4 linked regions of the Saccharomyces cerevisiae S288C genome follow. The protein of the gene in region 1 interacts with the protein of each later gene in a biochemical or structural test. Each region holds a gene or a part of one and is shown in the gene's direction. Other genes may lie near its edges.

The links.
Region 2: the proteins of HRP1 (region 1) and RNA15 form a complex in vitro, tested with the Saccharomyces cerevisiae proteins (one study listed by BioGRID).
Region 3: of the proteins of HRP1 (region 1) and HMT1, one has a biochemical effect on the other in vitro, tested with the Saccharomyces cerevisiae proteins (4 studies listed by BioGRID).
Region 4: the proteins of HRP1 (region 1) and KAP104 form a complex in vitro, tested with the Saccharomyces cerevisiae proteins (2 studies listed by BioGRID).

Annotation. Positions count from the first base shown.
Region 1 is NC_001147.6:85,444-90,309, forward strand, and holds HRP1 (Hrp1p), read left to right. Parts: upstream 1-2,400; coding exon 2,401-4,005; downstream 4,006-4,866. Other genes in the region: TRM11 (tRNA (guanine-N2-)-methyltransferase), read right to left, coding at 13-1,314; divalent metal ion transporter SMF1, read right to left, coding at 4,249-4,866. UniProt on the Saccharomyces cerevisiae protein: RNA-binding protein, which is involved in the polyadenylation-dependent pre-mRNA 3'-end formation and cooperates with the cleavage factor CFIA complex and the cleavage and polyadenylation factor (CPF) complex.
Region 2 is NC_001139.9:415,165-419,222, reverse strand, and holds RNA15 (Rna15p), read left to right. Parts: upstream 1-2,186; coding exon 2,187-3,077; downstream 3,078-4,058. Other genes in the region: DPC13 (Dpc13p), read right to left, coding at 1-398; YGL041C-B (uncharacterized protein), read left to right, coding at 337-519; transcription elongation factor DST1, read right to left, coding at 811-1,740; RIM8 (Rim8p), read right to left, coding at 3,493-4,058. UniProt on the Saccharomyces cerevisiae protein: RNA-binding component of the cleavage factor IA (CFIA) complex, which is involved in the endonucleolytic cleavage during polyadenylation-dependent pre-mRNA 3'-end formation and cooperates with the cleavage factor NAB4/CFIB and the cleavage and polyadenylation factor (CPF) complex.
Region 3 is NC_001134.8:303,577-307,537, reverse strand, and holds HMT1 (protein-arginine omega-N methyltransferase HMT1), read left to right. Parts: upstream 1-1,561; coding exon 1,562-2,608; downstream 2,609-3,961. Other genes in the region: pyridoxamine-phosphate oxidase PDX3, read left to right, coding at 583-1,269; EDS1 (Eds1p), read right to left, coding at 2,835-3,961. UniProt on the Saccharomyces cerevisiae protein: S-adenosyl-L-methionine-dependent protein-arginine N-methyltransferase that catalyzes both the mono- and asymmetric (type I) dimethylation of the guanidino nitrogens of arginine residues in a variety of RNA-binding proteins such as heterogeneous nuclear ribonucleoproteins (hnRNPs) and small nuclear ribonucleoproteins (snRNPs).
Region 4 is NC_001134.8:270,140-276,229, reverse strand, and holds KAP104 (Kap104p), read left to right. Parts: upstream 1-2,526; coding exon 2,527-5,283; downstream 5,284-6,090. Other genes in the region: GAL7 (UDP-glucose:hexose-1-phosphate uridylyltransferase), read left to right, coding at 703-1,803; cysteine-rich palmitoylated domain-containing protein CPP1, read right to left, coding at 5,597-5,983. UniProt on the Saccharomyces cerevisiae protein: Functions in nuclear protein import as nuclear transport receptor. Serves as receptor for arginine/glycine-rich nuclear localization signals (rg-NLS) and PY-NLS in cargo substrates. Its predominant cargo substrate seems to be mRNA-binding proteins.

The DNA of each region.
Region 1 (4,866 bases):
TTATGCATCATTTCAGTTAAAATTATTGAAGTACCGCTCCCTGAAATTATCTTTTGAACGTTTTATGCCATGATTACTTGATCCATTGAAAGTGCTACCCCTATTAATATAAACCAGTAGTCTCCTTGACCATTTATTGAATTCTTGAACGCAGTTGTATTTTAGCTCTAGATTTTCGTGCATTGGGACAATAGTTTCAATATTGGCGTCGTTTGCAGTGGGCATCCAGAAGGCTAATCTTCCGCCAATCGGTAATCTTTCGGAAGAGTATTGTAAAAGATCATCCAGTAATGAATCTAGAGCATACGGTTTTTTGGTTGGAATATAATCGCGACGCAAATATGCCTTTTCACCGTCAATTTCCATATCTTCCTTGCCTAGAAATCTTTCTGGATCCTTAGCACCTAGGACTTTTATGCTTTCTCTGATACCATATGGAGGATCACACAAAATAGTATCAATGACAAGATTGTTTCTTAATGCGTTATTTGTAAAGTCCATGGTCAACACGTCGAGGAATTGAGAACTCTCGCCATATTTTTTGAAGTTGGCCGAAATGTTCACTTGAGCACCCTTACCACGAATCATTCTGCCATCTATATCCGAACCAATCACTAAAGAACCAAAATGCCCACCAGCTACCAAAAAGGATCCTGTACCTGCAAACGGGTCGTACATTATAGTTCCCGGTTTCACTTGAGCTATATTGGCGCTGACCAACGATAATTCTGCTTCGAAGCTAGTTGTACCTTTATAAGGTCTTTTCTTCAAATCATATTTCTCCATGGCACTCCTATTGCTCATCTGAACCTGCCTACCAAAATAAATCCTGGTGGGGGTCTTACCACCAACGTTTTCCGATATTGGTGTGTACTCTTCTATAACAGTGAAAACCTCTTGAGGATGTTTCATATCAATCTTTCCTTCAAAGCCAAGGTAACGGAAAGTTTCAATCTGCTCTACCCTCTTAGCTTTACTGTTGCCTTTATAGCATTCGAATTCGAACTTAAAAGTGGAATGTTTGAATTTCAATTGCAGATCCTGTTCAAAGTTAGACTGACGCTGAATATCTTTATGCAGCTCATCGAGCGTTGTACCCTGCCCCCAATACTCATAAATACCTCTGGTTAAAATAGACCTCTTAATCCAATCCTTTGCTTGCTGATCATTTTCCAGCTCTACAATAAAGAAAGGGCTATTGGCATCGTACTGCGAAAAGTCTATGGAAAGATTATATAGGTCTGCTAACGATTCCAGTTCTGCTCTTCTAAAGTTCAAATGAACTTGTACCATATACAGCAGATATTTCTTCATGCTGCCGTTTTTACCTTATATACAATGTGTTTAGTTATGCTATTTCATCTCCATATTACGGGTATTAAGACCTCGATGCCCATAATCATCGATTTTTTTCACTTTTCCCACAACGTAAACATTTCTTTTTTCTTCGGAAAAGAATCCAAAATACGGGTAATAAAAGTCTCTTAAAGTACTAATAGCTATAGATAACATTATGGAGGCTATTGATATACAAAATACTAAGAAATATAGGTTGCTGCAAGGAAGAAGATCAAAAACCCTCTAAATTTCGCTTTATCTATCCATCAAAAGTCCGGAGGGTCATGCTATCGAAAACCTATTGACTATAAATATCAATTTTTTTATCTCTTCGATTTGTTCTTGAAGATCTTGCGCAGAAGTTGAAAAACAAAGAGTAAATCCTAATGTAGATGCGTGGAAAAAGAAACATGCTCTTAAGGATCCCAACTTCTTTCTCTTCTAAACATCTATAACCTTGGAAGATCTTGCGAAATACTGGGCGGCTAAATCGAATGCATTTTTAATCTTACCCGGAAATACTTTCTTTTTTTTATTTATTTTTTTTCTTGCAGCCCCTCCCTACGAGCAGCGCCGAGATTTCTTGTTGGACAAAGCAAAAAAAGTATAAAAGGCGCATGCTTTCCACACGCCCAGGCGCTCTTAAATTTTCTTCCGCTCTCTCCTTTCCGCCACTGTAATTAAAAACAAAGGATTGAACAGTTTCGACTAGTTATTTAATTTTGCAGATAGTCAAGTATTAGTACAATATACTGTTATAAATTTTTTACGTGTATCTTTTACTTTTTAGTGTTTAATAACTAAAATCTCATACCTTACTAGATTTCTTTCTAACCTTTTTTGCGAAAGAAACAAAAAGAAAAAATACGGACAGAAAAGGTATACTCAATAAACAAGAAATTGAAAAAGCGTGCATAATACAAACAATTGGCCCTTTTTTATTCTGTATTAATATTACTGTTTATATTACAATCTTTTCATAAAAGACGCAAATATTTTATTTATAAAGAACTTTAGCAGTATACACAAGTCTGAGAAAATAGAGAATAAGTTAAATAAGCAATGAGCTCTGACGAAGAAGATTTCAACGACATCTACGGCGATGATAAGCCTACCACTACTGAAGAAGTCAAAAAAGAAGAAGAACAAAATAAGGCTGGCAGTGGTACCTCGCAATTAGATCAACTAGCCGCACTACAAGCATTATCTTCTAGCTTGAACAAACTAAATAATCCAAATAGTAACAACAGTAGTAGTAATAATAGTAACCAAGACACATCTTCTAGTAAGCAAGATGGCACTGCGAATGACAAGGAAGGTTCCAATGAAGACACTAAGAATGAAAAAAAACAAGAAAGCGCTACATCAGCAAATGCCAATGCCAACGCTAGTTCTGCAGGACCTTCTGGCTTACCTTGGGAACAACTTCAACAAACCATGTCACAATTCCAGCAACCATCTTCTCAATCACCACCTCAACAGCAAGTAACTCAAACCAAAGAGGAACGTTCGAAAGCGGATTTGTCTAAAGAAAGTTGCAAGATGTTCATTGGTGGTCTGAATTGGGACACTACGGAAGATAATCTTCGCGAATATTTTGGTAAGTATGGTACCGTCACTGATTTGAAAATCATGAAAGACCCTGCAACAGGTAGATCTAGAGGGTTCGGTTTCTTATCTTTTGAAAAACCTTCTAGTGTTGATGAAGTGGTAAAGACACAACATATCCTCGATGGTAAAGTTATCGACCCAAAAAGAGCTATCCCAAGAGACGAGCAAGATAAAACCGGTAAAATCTTTGTTGGTGGTATTGGTCCTGATGTGAGACCAAAGGAATTTGAAGAATTTTTTTCTCAGTGGGGTACGATTATCGATGCGCAACTGATGTTAGATAAGGATACCGGTCAATCAAGAGGTTTTGGTTTTGTGACGTATGACTCCGCTGACGCCGTTGACAGAGTTTGTCAGAATAAATTCATCGATTTCAAAGATCGCAAGATCGAAATCAAGAGAGCTGAGCCAAGACATATGCAACAAAAATCATCAAACAATGGTGGTAACAATGGTGGAAACAACATGAATCGTCGTGGCGGTAACTTCGGTAACCAAGGCGATTTCAACCAAATGTATCAAAACCCTATGATGGGCGGTTACAACCCAATGATGAATCCGCAAGCAATGACAGATTACTATCAAAAGATGCAAGAATATTACCAACAAATGCAAAAGCAAACTGGTATGGATTATACTCAAATGTACCAACAACAAATGCAGCAAATGGCAATGATGATGCCAGGGTTTGCCATGCCACCTAATGCAATGACTTTAAACCAACCACAGCAAGATTCAAATGCCACTCAAGGTTCCCCAGCACCTTCTGATTCCGATAATAATAAATCCAATGACGTCCAAACTATTGGTAATACATCAAACACTGACTCTGGTTCACCGCCATTGAATTTACCTAATGGTCCAAAGGGCCCATCACAATACAATGATGACCACAATAGCGGTTATGGCTACAACCGTGATCGCGGTGATCGTGATCGTAACGATCGTGACCGCGATTACAATCACCGTAGTGGTGGAAACCATAGAAGAAACGGCCGTGGTGGTCGCGGTGGATACAATAGACGTAATAATGGCTACCATCCATATAATAGGTAAAAAAAAAGAAAAGTGTAGAAAACTAGAGAAAAGTTTTCTTGTATAATTCAACAACCCTTCTATTAAATAAGCATAAGCAATTTATAATATATATATACATGTACGTGTATTAGTTTCGAATAGTTATTATTTTTTTTTCACTATGCTAGAATGTATAATCACAAGCTCTACTTGAAGTACAGCTGTCATAAAGCTTACAAATAATCTTAATGTTATTGTGCGCAAGAATGTAAGAGGCAGACATTAACTGATATCACCATGAGACATGCCTAATTGAACAATGGCATAAACGTTCAGTAAAGATAAGAAAAGCCACACAATTATAGCAATAACAGTGATAATCCAATTGTTTGCCATATAAACGATTTTGACATCTTTTCCATTTTCTATCTCCATGCCACTAGAACCATCTTGCTCGATTACGCTACCTGCAGATCTATCGTTGTTATTTTGATGGTTATGGCTATCTTCTTCAGTATGGTCGACGGTAATTTCGGTTTTCATGATTGATTTTTTACATGTGAAGAAAATTAAAGGTGCTACCAAAAATGGCAGAACTATGGATAAAACAACTTGGGAAGCATTTAAGGCCTTTGATAAAGCTTCTCTACCGATACAGATAGAGATGACCAAACAAGGGATTATCGAAATACATCTAGTGGCCAATCTTCTTTGCCATGGCTGCAACTTCCAATTAATATGACCCTCACTTACAATTTGACCCGACATAGTACACACTACACCTGCGGATTGACCACTTAATAAAAGTGCGAGCATGAAAATCGTACCTGCTGCGGGTGCCAGATTTCTTGATAATAATTCATGAATAGTAAACAAATCTGCCCCATCTGCTTCTGGTGA
Region 2 (4,058 bases), on another chromosome or scaffold:
CCAGATTTTTCCAATTCCAATTTAAATTCCTTCATAGCGTGTCTCAGATCTCTGTCCATTAAGATCTTAATCATTTGCCATGGTTTCATCGTATTTTCTTCATTGGCAGAAGTCCCATCTAGATTAACCAATTTTTTTTCGATCATGATATTGCTAACCTTTTCTAACTTTTCCAGAACATTAGGCCTCGAATTTATTTGATCCATGAGTTTCTGCACCTTTATGTGTGCATCTATTTTGTCATTAGGCTGTCTGTCGTCCCAAGATTGAGCGTAAAATCTTCTCGGAGAAATCCAGGAAAGCCTCCTTAAACTCCTGGTGTGATTAGTGGTAGAAATGTTCGATAGTTCTATCGAACGAGTGACTCTGGAACTATGCTTCCATATAACTCTTAGCATTATGTGTGGCTGTAGTATCTACTTTCTGCTTCTTGTGTTTATTCTAACTTTTTATTCGTCGGTTTTGTTACATCTTAAATTGTATTTCTTTAGTTCTGACCGAGCCATATTTAATGCATAGAAGATTAATAAAGAAAACATGAAAATCATAAATAATTAAAAGTAACTGGACGAACAAAAGATTTTACGTGAGACAGACAAAAAAAATTAACACCAGCAGTATATGTATATATGTACATCGTATATGAATATGCCATTTCAACAAATTGGATATGGTTGTATGTTTGGCTTTTTCTTTTCCTGGATTCCGGCTGTCAAATACTACTACGAATAGAGTCAGAACAGGCTTTTCTGTCCCTTCCTCCTATTGTTTCCTTTGCTCTGTCCGTGGCTACTCTCATCTTTTTCTATTCTAAGAGAATTTCCATCTGTTACCACATGCTTCACATGTACAGAAAGTGGTCAATGGTTCATCCGCAGATCTTGTTTGCAATTGATAGTAAGATACCTTCTTCTCTTTACATTTACCACATGTAAATCTATCGGTGACTGACCTTTCTATGGTGGCACCCTGTGCGTTGTATAAGTTTTGCTTGGCAATTTCTTCTATCTTTTGCTTTAAGGGCGCTGGTGCCAGATCCTTGGCATCGCATGTAGCTAAGAATTCAGGTGTTATATCACCGTTGGCAATTTTATGTTTGAGATCTGGGTTATTCTTTGATATGACGTTTGAATAAATTATACGATACCTGGCTTTGTAAGCGGCTTCGTTGGTGTCACAGTTGTTAACTTTATTCATTTCACTTTCTATGGCCTTTGCAGTATGCAAAATAGATTGAGGTGGATGCTCACTTTCCTTGGCCAAAACGTCGTAGAGTGCTTTTAGTACCTGATCACGTAATTTGTGGTGGTATATAGCTGTATCCACACCATCGTTCTTACTATTTCTTGGTTTAGTGCTGACGTACTTGTCTTGTTTCATGGCATCTGACTGGGAGGAGGCCGGCTGTTGAACACCATTCACGGACTCACCTACAGTTGTCTTGTCCTCTGCATTGCCTGGCGCATGATCTTGATGATGCTGCTGTGCTTGCCTGGAACGCTTATTTTTATTAATTGCGTCTTTCCAAGAGCTAATCATTTTCTTCACGAGTTTGCTGATCTCTACATTAGTGGATTTTTTAAACTTGTTGACTTCCACACCAACTTTTGTTTCTCTCAGTAACTTTTCAGTGGGGACGAATTCTTTATCCAAGACATGTAAGATTTCTAGAACTGCAGCATCATTACTTTTGTTCTTTTCTAGATTCTTAACATGTACCAGTACTTCCTTACTATCCATGATGAATGCTCTTATGCGGACTGACTACACTGTGAATGTTCTGCTGCTTGAGTAATTTTTCATTCAATATTTTTCAATACGTAGTCCCATCATCGAGTGATCACTTGGTCATATCAGCACAGTGGGGCGGGTAAGAGTTGAAAATTTCCCTATAATGAAATTGGATATTATATATCAAAAAGGCGTTGTCATTCGAAGCATCGTTTCAAAAGAAGGTCCGTAAAGTTAAGGTGGGCTAGTGAAGTATCTCATAATTGTTACAATCACCATAAGAGAAATCTTGCGTTTAGAATTTCCTAAGAGAACCGAGTCACTTCTAGCACTTGCTTTAAACAGAAACACTTGTAATAATTGTTAGAGGGATATACAAGAAAGGCTATATACCAATAGCATCACATAGACACGTTAATTATCAATACATTGAAAGAAAAGACGAAAACGATAAAATGAATAGGCAGAGCGGTGTGAATGCGGGGGTACAGAACAACCCACCATCCCGAGTGGTGTATCTGGGTTCTATACCATACGATCAAACAGAGGAGCAGATACTTGATTTATGTAGTAATGTTGGGCCCGTGATCAATTTGAAAATGATGTTCGACCCCCAAACTGGTAGGTCGAAAGGGTACGCGTTTATTGAATTTAGAGATTTAGAGTCCAGTGCCAGCGCAGTACGTAATTTGAATGGATACCAATTAGGCTCTAGGTTTTTGAAATGCGGTTACTCCAGCAATAGTGATATATCGGGAGTTTCACAACAGCAACAACAACAGTACAACAACATTAATGGGAACAATAACAACAATGGAAATAATAATAATAATAGTAATGGGCCGGACTTTCAAAACAGCGGAAATGCCAATTTTCTAAGTCAAAAGTTTCCAGAATTGCCCTCTGGTATCGACGTTAACATAAACATGACCACCCCTGCTATGATGATATCGAGCGAACTAGCTAAAAAACCGAAAGAGGTGCAGTTGAAATTTTTACAAAAATTCCAAGAATGGACAAGAGCGCATCCTGAAGATGCTGTTTCGCTATTAGAGCTGTGTCCACAGTTGAGTTTTGTTACGGCTGAATTATTGCTAACGAATGGGATATGTAAAGTGGATGATTTGATCCCGTTAGCTTCCAGGCCGCAAGAAGAGGCATCGGCTACGAATAACAATAGCGTGAACGAGGTGGTGGATCCAGCTGTGCTTAACAAACAGAAAGAACTACTGAAACAGGTGTTACAACTGAATGACAGTCAAATTTCTATCTTGCCCGATGATGAAAGGATGGCTATTTGGGACTTAAAACAAAAAGCATTAAGGGGAGAATTTGGTGCATTTTGAAACTAGGGAGGCAAAAATACAAAAAAAAAATGCGGTTCCGCAATGATGAGGCAACAATCTATCATATTTTCCACGTGAGGGAGCTCAAAGTTCGGTATATAGCTTACATCTCAATATCACAATCACTTTTTTTTTTGACGTCTTTATAAATATAGAATAACGTTTACGTTACTGCTATTTTTTCGTTTCTTATCTCAGTTTGCCTGAGGACGGCTATAGTTTTAATCATTAAACGTATATTAAGTACACATGAACATATATAAATCTCAGGTTTGTGCATGCTTCGATTTTTTTTTTCTATGTTAATGTCATGGATCATTACGTGGCTGGGATAGTGGAAATATGCAAACATGATTAAGGCGCCTAGTTCCAACACGGCGCAAGCTGCGAGTATATGACTTGTTACCTGCACTTTTTAATAGTCATCACAAGGGGGAGGATCGCTTTCTAACTGTTGTAGTCTTTTTTGTTCAAGTTCTTGTTTGTCTTCCGACGGTACACTGACTTTATCATTTGGCGAATACTTTGGAACTGGAACATCGTCACTATCATATGCATTTAATGGGGCCAACCAATCTCTTAAATTCGATGGAGAATTTTGAGGAGCCGTGATTGAGGATTGGGATGGGATGCTTGCATCAGATTGCTGCTGTTCGGATCTCGTCGTTCCTATGACGGTTTCTATGGACATACCAGTTACATTCCTCAGTCTCTTTAGCTTTTCCACATTTACCATATCTTTGAAAAATATACTGGATTCATAACCCTCAGAATCGTTCTCCAACGTTTCTGGATTGACCATACGTAGCATTTTCCTTTGGATACGGTTGATATTATTCTCTACGCCCAAGCCATTTTGTTCTCCAATAGGAGTTCCTATTATTCTATTAGATTCTGTGTAAACCACGTTTTTTTTTGATAAGTTAACCATAACCTCGATATAGTATTGGAAGGAGAAAAATTTTCCCACAGTAGTAAGGG
Region 3 (3,961 bases), on another chromosome or scaffold:
GAGAACCTTGAGATCTATATGTCACCATTGCTAAAGAGGAAGTTTTTTCGCGAGTTCGCGCGCTGAAAACTTTTCTCCCATTTCCTTTTTTTTTTATTTTTTTGGCGTTTAGATATAAAAGCTTTAGCAGGATTGCTCTTCCTTTTCACCACACATATAGTGATATAAAATTTATTTATAAACTAACACAAGTAAATATACAACACCCAGTATTTTTGGCTGCCCGTGTCTTTCTCTACCACGGGTAGTCTCTCTAAGCTGGCAGATAGATGTTTATTGAACCGCTTAAGTTCCGTTGTGAAGTTTTCGTCTTTCAGGCTGTATTTCATAACACTACTGTAGTTCACACATACACATGCGTAATGCCCCAATCTTGATAAACAGCACATACAAGTAACAGCAAGTCTGCTTAGCAGCCAGATAGAGCTCTTATAGATGCCACCAGAACCAGCGCCGGGTAAATTGTAAATACTAGAAGGGGCCGCAACTTATAAGAAAGAAGAAATGACTAATTTGCATGATTAGATATTTTAAAGATACTCTACCTAGACCAGTAGTACACTTCACGGATCTGCACTGAAAATGACTAAACAAGCTGAGGAGACCCAAAAGCCAATCATATTTGCTCCTGAGACGTATCAATATGATAAATTTACTTTGAATGAAAAACAACTTACTGACGACCCAATCGATCTTTTCACCAAATGGTTCAACGAAGCCAAGGAAGACCCAAGGGAAACGTTGCCAGAAGCAATTACTTTTTCATCCGCGGAACTACCTAGTGGGAGGGTGTCGTCCAGGATTCTTCTTTTTAAGGAGCTCGACCATAGAGGTTTTACTATTTATTCTAACTGGGGAACCTCTAGAAAGGCTCATGATATTGCTACCAACCCGAATGCGGCAATCGTATTCTTTTGGAAGGATCTGCAAAGGCAGGTGAGAGTTGAAGGTATCACAGAGCATGTTAACAGAGAAACTTCTGAAAGATACTTTAAGACGAGACCTCGTGGATCCAAGATCGGTGCATGGGCTTCCCGCCAATCGGATGTTATCAAGAACAGAGAAGAACTAGACGAGTTGACCCAAAAAAACACCGAACGTTTCAAGGATGCTGAAGACATCCCATGTCCAGATTATTGGGGTGGCTTGAGAATCGTTCCACTGGAAATTGAGTTCTGGCAAGGTAGACCCTCGAGATTGCATGATAGATTCGTTTACAGAAGAAAAACAGAAAACGATCCATGGAAAGTCGTTAGACTAGCCCCATGAGGGACTGTTAATGAAAAATTCAATGTAGGATCTATTTAACACCATATAATTCTCTCATTTTCTATTTTATACTGTATAATGAATCTTTTTATACCGCCTATAGGGTAATATGTCAGAATATACCGAGATGAAAAAAAAGAAAAAGGAATTCCGAAATTTGGAAATGGCGGGAAAATTTTTTCACAAAGGGAAATTATATGTTATAAAAATAGTTGAAGAGATGAGCTGCCTACTGCTCACCTTGCCGTTTCCAAAAAAGAGTTAGAACCGACAAATTCATCCAAAGAAAATAATGAGCAAGACAGCCGTGAAAGATTCTGCTACAGAAAAAACCAAGCTAAGTGAAAGCGAACAGCACTACTTCAATTCGTACGATCACTATGGTATTCACGAAGAGATGCTTCAAGATACTGTTCGTACCTTATCTTACAGAAACGCAATTATCCAAAATAAGGATCTTTTTAAGGACAAGATTGTTTTAGACGTCGGTTGCGGTACCGGTATTTTATCCATGTTTGCCGCTAAACACGGTGCGAAGCATGTTATCGGTGTTGATATGTCAAGCATTATTGAGATGGCGAAGGAATTGGTAGAGTTGAACGGATTCAGCGACAAGATCACCTTGCTAAGAGGCAAGTTGGAGGACGTTCATTTACCCTTTCCTAAAGTTGACATCATAATTTCTGAATGGATGGGTTACTTTCTACTATACGAGTCCATGATGGACACCGTTCTTTACGCTAGAGACCACTATTTGGTAGAAGGCGGTCTGATCTTTCCCGACAAGTGCTCCATTCATTTGGCCGGTTTGGAAGACTCTCAGTATAAAGACGAGAAGTTGAACTACTGGCAAGACGTTTACGGGTTTGATTATTCGCCATTTGTTCCGTTGGTCTTACACGAGCCCATCGTCGACACCGTGGAAAGAAACAATGTCAACACCACCTCAGACAAATTGATCGAATTTGATTTAAATACAGTAAAAATATCAGATCTAGCGTTTAAGAGTAACTTTAAATTGACGGCCAAGAGACAAGATATGATTAATGGTATAGTCACCTGGTTCGACATTGTTTTCCCTGCACCAAAGGGTAAGAGACCTGTTGAGTTCTCCACTGGTCCTCATGCTCCATACACTCACTGGAAGCAAACAATATTTTATTTCCCTGATGATCTAGATGCTGAAACTGGTGACACCATTGAAGGTGAATTGGTTTGCTCTCCAAACGAGAAGAATAACAGAGATCTAAATATCAAAATTTCTTACAAGTTCGAATCGAATGGCATCGACGGTAATTCAAGAAGCAGAAAAAACGAAGGTTCTTATTTAATGCATTAAGACTTTTGTTTGCTGGAGAAAGAAAAAAATTTGAAAAGCAAATAAACAAACTTGTTCATATTATTGACGCGAATATGTGTACTTTGTTACCCTTTTTTGTTGGTCGTGTACCAAAATTAGTTTAGATATATGACTTTGCATGTCCTTGTACTATAGTTTTTAAAAGAAAAAATCTACTTATCTATCCTTCATTAGGATGCTATTTTTCACCTTGTTATCATGAATATTAGTTAAAGAAGCAACAGCAACAACCCAATTCTGAATCATCCATCAATTTCCAACCTATGTCGGCAAACTTTTTCAATATCTTTTTGTTTTCTTCCTCCGATGGCGCAACGTTTGAGGCGTTACTAGCTGCACATTTTCCGGAATACATGCTCTTCATTACCGATTCGTAGCATCCGGTACTACTTGTAGCACTTACATAGTAACGCTTAGCACGGTCATGTGCATTCTTCCTAAAAGGTTCTAGGGTATTAAATAGTGCGGTTATTTGCACCAATTCGTTCAGCGCAGTTGACAACGTCATAATTCTGTCATTTATTCCCTTGGCCATATTTCCATTACGGATGTATAAACTTATTAATGTGGTAGGTATGGGTCCTATCAAACTAATGATATTATAGCATTCTTCCACCATTGGCAGCATGAAAATAGAAACAGTTCCCATCAAGTCTTTGGTTGTGCAACGTGTATTTTCTTCACTGGCAAGATTTGACGTAATACTTTGTGTTGGCGACATTAATTCTTCTTCACTGTCCTGAGCAAAATAGGCGTTCGGAAGGGGCTTTGAATCCAAATCAACAGAGTTTTCTGCGTTCATATTAGTAATTGAATCTAATATGCCTGATACCAGAGTGATCATTGAGCAGACTAGCTCTCCGATATTTTTCATTTCAGCATCCGAATTGCAGCAATTTTCTAGAATATGGTCATTTTTCTGTTCAATATTTAGTAATTTTCTGATTAAAATTTCCTTTTTCTTCAAAAGGGTCTCAAATTTGCCAGCTATATTATCATGTTCCCCTTTTTCAACAGCGAACTCTCCGTAATCCGTTTGATTTGTGAACAGCAAGTGGTGAGGTACATTTACTTGCAATGATTTTCTGTTAAGGACAAAATATGTTATAAATTCACCAAGTTTAAGGTTTCGTAGAATGTTATCCAAAGCTACGGGAGCTTTTTCGACGACTTGGTTATGACCTGTTTTATCGCTAAAATATGTTTCAATGGCGCTACCAAAATTTAGATTAATTAATTTTGGTTGACCTAGCCGAAAGCTTTGTAGCGTATCCAGAATGTTTAAAAGGATGTACAACCTTTTGAACAACACAGCATAATCCAGTATCTCGT
Region 4 (6,090 bases), on another chromosome or scaffold:
GAAAATATGCACTCTATATCTTTTAGTTCTTAATTGCAACACATAGATTTGCTGTATAACGAATTTTATGCTATTTTTTAAATTTGGAGTTCAGTGATAAAAGTGTCACAGCGAATTTCCTCACATGTAGGGACCGAATTGTTTACAAGTTCTCTGTACCACCATGGAGACATCAAAAATTGAAAATCTATGGAAAGATATGGACGGTAGCAACAAGAATATAGCACGAGCCGCGGAGTTCATTTCGTTACTTTTGATATCACTCACAACTATTGCGAAGCGCTTCAGTGAAAAAATCATAAGGAAAAGTTGTAAATATTATTGGTAGTATTCGTTTGGTAAAGTAGAGGGGGTAATTTTTCCCCTTTATTTTGTTCATACATTCTTAAATTGCTTTGCCTCTCCTTTTGGAAAGCTATACTTCGGAGCACTGTTGAGCGAAGGCTCATTAGATATATTTTCTGTCATTTTCCTTAACCCAAAAATAAGGGAAAGGGTCCAAAAAGCGCTCGGACAACTGTTGACCGTGATCCGAAGGACTGGCTATACAGTGTTCACAAAATAGCCAAGCTGAAAATAATGTGTAGCTATGTTCAGTTAGTTTGGCTAGCAAAGATATAAAAGCAGGTCGGAAATATTTATGGGCATTATTATGCAGAGCATCAACATGATAAAAAAAAACAGTTGAATATTCCCTCAAAAATGACTGCTGAAGAATTTGATTTTTCTAGCCATTCCCATAGACGTTACAATCCACTAACCGATTCATGGATCTTAGTTTCTCCACACAGAGCTAAAAGACCTTGGTTAGGTCAACAGGAGGCTGCTTACAAGCCCACAGCTCCATTGTATGATCCAAAATGCTATCTATGTCCTGGTAACAAAAGAGCTACTGGTAACCTAAACCCAAGATATGAATCAACGTATATTTTCCCCAATGATTATGCTGCCGTTAGGCTCGATCAACCTATTTTACCACAGAATGATTCCAATGAGGATAATCTTAAAAATAGGCTGCTTAAAGTGCAATCTGTGAGAGGCAATTGTTTCGTCATATGTTTTAGCCCCAATCATAATCTAACCATTCCACAAATGAAACAATCAGATCTGGTTCATATTGTTAATTCTTGGCAAGCATTGACTGACGATCTCTCCAGAGAAGCAAGAGAAAATCATAAGCCTTTCAAATATGTCCAAATATTTGAAAACAAAGGTACAGCCATGGGTTGTTCCAACTTACATCCACATGGCCAAGCTTGGTGCTTAGAATCCATCCCTAGTGAAGTTTCGCAAGAATTGAAATCTTTTGATAAATATAAACGTGAACACAATACTGATTTGTTTGCCGATTACGTCAAATTAGAATCAAGAGAGAAGTCAAGAGTCGTAGTGGAGAATGAATCCTTTATTGTTGTTGTTCCATACTGGGCCATCTGGCCATTTGAGACCTTGGTCATTTCAAAGAAGAAGCTTGCCTCAATTAGCCAATTTAACCAAATGGTGAAGGAGGACCTCGCCTCGATTTTAAAGCAACTAACTATTAAGTATGATAATTTATTTGAAACGAGTTTCCCATACTCAATGGGTATCCATCAGGCTCCTTTGAATGCGACTGGTGATGAATTGAGTAATAGTTGGTTTCACATGCATTTCTACCCACCTTTACTGAGATCAGCTACTGTTCGGAAATTCTTGGTTGGTTTTGAATTGTTAGGTGAGCCTCAAAGAGATTTAACTTCGGAACAAGCTGCTGAAAAACTAAGAAATTTAGATGGTCAGATTCATTATCTACAAAGACTGTAAAAAGAAAGTGGAATATTCATTCATATCATATTTTTTCTATTAACTGCCTGGTTTCTTTTAAATTTTTTATTGGTTGTCGACTTGAACGGAGTGACAATATATATATATATATATTTAATAATGACATCATTATCTGTAAATCTGATTCTTAATGCTATTCTAGTTATGTAAGAGTGGTCCTTTCCATAAAAAAAAAAAAAAAGAAAAAAGAATTTTAGGAATACAATGCAGCTTGTAAGTAAAATCTGGAATATTCATATCGCCACAACTTCTTATGCTTATAAAAGCACTAATGCCTGAATTTATGTTGAAAATATGTGTCACAAATAAAGAAACTGTGACATCTGACACATTTCCACTTTATTGACAAGAATAGAATTTCTTTAAGTTTCCCCTCTAGATTATTTATTTTCAAATTTTAGGCTCTGTTGAAGTTTATTACGTAGAAATTCCTACGATAGTTATTAGTCCTAATTGGATGTTGCAGCAAGGCTCATTGTCGGTGTCGTTATCGATGGAAATCCTGCACCTATGTTATTACCCTCTTTTCGTAGTTTTCTGATCCGGGTTATAGAGTTTTGCTTAAAAAAAGGTTATGTTTAAAAGTATGAAAAACTTTTCAGTATTAATTATGCAGAAGAGCAGTGAATAGTAATAATACATATCAGAATATTCCGCAGTCTTTGGTTTTCAGAATTGTTAGCAGTAGTTAAGTGAATAAAGATGGCATCGACATGGAAGCCCGCCGAAGACTATGTGTTGCAACTAGCAACTCTTTTACAGAACTGTATGTCACCAAATCCAGAGATTCGTAATAACGCAATGGAAGCTATGGAGAACTTCCAGCTGCAACCTGAATTTCTCAATTATTTGTGTTATATTTTAATTGAAGGCGAATCTGATGATGTATTGAAGCAACACTACTCCCTACAGGATCTTCAGAACAATAGAGCTACCGCCGGTATGCTGTTGAAAAATTCAATGCTAGGGGGAAACAATTTAATTAAGAGCAATAGCCACGACTTAGGATACGTCAAATCAAACATTATACATGGCCTTTATAATTCGAACAATAATCTCGTTTCGAACGTGACAGGTATCGTTATTACTACTTTATTTTCCACTTACTATAGGCAGCATAGAGATGATCCAACTGGTCTTCAAATGCTTTACCAGTTGCTAGAGCTAACCTCAAATGGAAATGAGCCAAGTATTAAGGCTTTATCTAAGATCATGGAAGACAGCGCTCAATTTTTCCAATTGGAATGGTCGGGAAATACGAAGCCTATGGAAGCCTTATTGGATAGTTTTTTTAGGTTTATTTCGAATCCAAATTTCTCACCTGTGATTCGCTCAGAATCGGTGAAATGTATAAATACAGTGATCCCGCTACAAACACAAAGTTTTATTGTGAGATTAGATAAATTCTTAGAAATTATTTTTCAGTTGGCACAAAACGACGAAAACGACCTAGTTAGGGCACAGATTTGCATTAGTTTTAGTTTCTTATTGGAATTCAGACCAGATAAGCTGGTTTCCCATTTAGATGGTATTGTACAATTCATGTTGCATTTGATCACCACTGTAAATGAGGAAAAAGTGGCTATTGAAGCCTGCGAGTTTTTGCACGCCTTTGCAACGAGCCCAAATATTCCTGAACATATCTTACAACCATATGTTAAGGATATCGTGCCAATATTATTATCGAAAATGGTCTATAACGAAGAATCCATCGTTCTCCTGGAAGCTTCTAATGATGATGATGCATTCTTGGAGGATAAAGATGAGGACATCAAGCCCATTGCACCCCGTATTGTGAAAAAGAAAGAGGCAGGAAATGGAGAGGATGCAGATGACAACGAAGATGATGATGATGATGATGATGATGAAGATGGCGATGTTGATACGCAATGGAATTTGAGAAAATGTTCCGCGGCAACGCTAGATGTAATGACGAATATTTTACCTCATCAAGTGATGGATATAGCGTTCCCATTTTTAAGAGAACATTTGGGTTCTGATAGGTGGTTTATTAGAGAAGCTACTATATTAGCACTGGGGGCCATGGCAGAAGGTGGAATGAAGTATTTTAATGATGGCTTACCAGCACTAATACCATTTTTAGTGGAACAATTGAACGATAAGTGGGCACCAGTGAGGAAAATGACATGTTGGACATTAAGTAGGTTTTCACCATGGATATTACAAGACCATACTGAGTTTTTAATTCCAGTCTTAGAACCTATAATAAACACATTAATGGACAAGAAAAAGGATGTTCAAGAGGCGGCTATTAGTAGTGTAGCAGTATTTATTGAAAACGCCGACTCCGAATTGGTTGAAACTTTATTTTATAGTCAATTATTGACGAGTTTTGATAAATGTTTGAAATATTACAAGAAAAAGAATTTAATTATATTATATGATGCCATCGGCAGGTTTGCTGAAAAATGTGCATTAGACGAGACAGCGATGCAAATAATTTTGCCGCCCTTAATTGAAAAATGGGCTTTGCTGTCAGACAGTGACAAGGAGCTGTGGCCACTTTTAGAATGTCTTTCCTGCGTGGCATCATCACTGGGGGAAAGATTCATGCCTATGGCACCAGAAGTGTACAACAGAGCCTTTAGAATTCTATGTCATTGTGTCGAATTGGAAGCCAAATCACATCAAGACCCGACAATAGTAGTGCCTGAGAAGGACTTCATCATCACCTCATTAGATTTGATTGATGGATTGGTACAAGGTCTTGGCGCTCACTCGCAGGATCTATTGTTCCCTCAAGGGACGAAGGATTTAACGATATTGAAAATCATGCTAGAATGTTTGCAGGACCCTGTCCATGAAGTAAGACAAAGCTGCTTTGCCCTGTTGGGAGATATTGTATATTTTTTCAATTCGGAACTGGTAATTGGTAATTTGGAGGATTTCTTGAAGTTGATTGGTACGGAAATAATGCATAACGACGATAGTGATGGTACTCCTGCTGTGATAAATGCGATATGGGCGCTTGGTTTGATAAGCGAACGTATCGATTTGAATACTTATATCATTGATATGTCTAGAATCATTCTAGATTTATTTACCACCAACACACAAATCGTAGACAGCTCTGTGATGGAGAACTTGTCTGTGACCATCGGAAAAATGGGGCTAACACACCCTGAAGTTTTCAGTTCTGGCGCATTTGCCAATGATTCCAACTGGAATAAATGGTGTTTGTCCGTTAACGCATTGGACGATGTAGAGGAAAAGAGTAGCGCGTACATGGGTTTCCTGAAAATTATCAATTTGACCAGCACGGAGGTCACAATGAGTAATGATACCATTCATAAAATTGTTACGGGCCTTTCAAGCAATGTAGAGGCGAATGTTTTTGCGCAAGAGATCTACACCTTTTTGATGAACCATTCTGCCCAAATTTCTGCAATAAATTTCACGCCCGATGAAATCTCCTTCTTACAACAGTTCACCAGCTAAAATTTTTTTTACTGTATCCTACGTGTTTGTATAGTTTGGTACATTATTACTAGTGATATATACATAGCACAATTCGGAAAAAAAAAAAAGGTGCATAACTGCAAATGGATCACATAGAAATGAAAATAGTTATAAAAGTTACATATAATTAATAGACGTATTACATACATGCTTAAAGTGACATGTTAAAGTTTTTTTTTTTATCTCCTTGTGAAAAAAAATAACACTGAGGGGAAGAAAGGCAACTGCAAAGAACAGAAGGGGAGATTATTCTTTTTTTTTTTTTCATTCTTGAATACTTTTGCGGGTTCTCTTAGAATAGCATATCCATGGTGCAGCATATACATAATGCAGCCAGACATGCAGCCAGACAACCTTCGTTACCCCTCTGGGGTGGTTGTTGTTGGACGTAGACTGGTTGTTGATGGCCTTGTTGGTTATATCCCTGCTGGTTATATCCCTGCTGATTGTAGCCCTGCTGATTGTACCCTTGCTGATTGTACCCTTGCTGATTGTATCCTTGTTGGTTATAGTATCCGGGATGCTGCTGCTGCTGCTGGTAGTACTGCTGCTGTTGTTGGGGTGGGTATCCACGCTCCTGAGTTTTGTTCTGATGAGCGGATGAAGGTGGCGGGTTGGAGGGACGGGAATATTGGCTCTTCTCGCCGGCGGTTCCGCCGTAGTAATCGTTAGCAGACATGGTGGTTGTGTGTAGGACTATCTTAAGCTTACTAGTGAGTCTCTTCAATGCTTGTCTTGAGAAGAGAAAGAGCCAGAGGGGGATTTTGGAAAAAGCCAAATTGACAT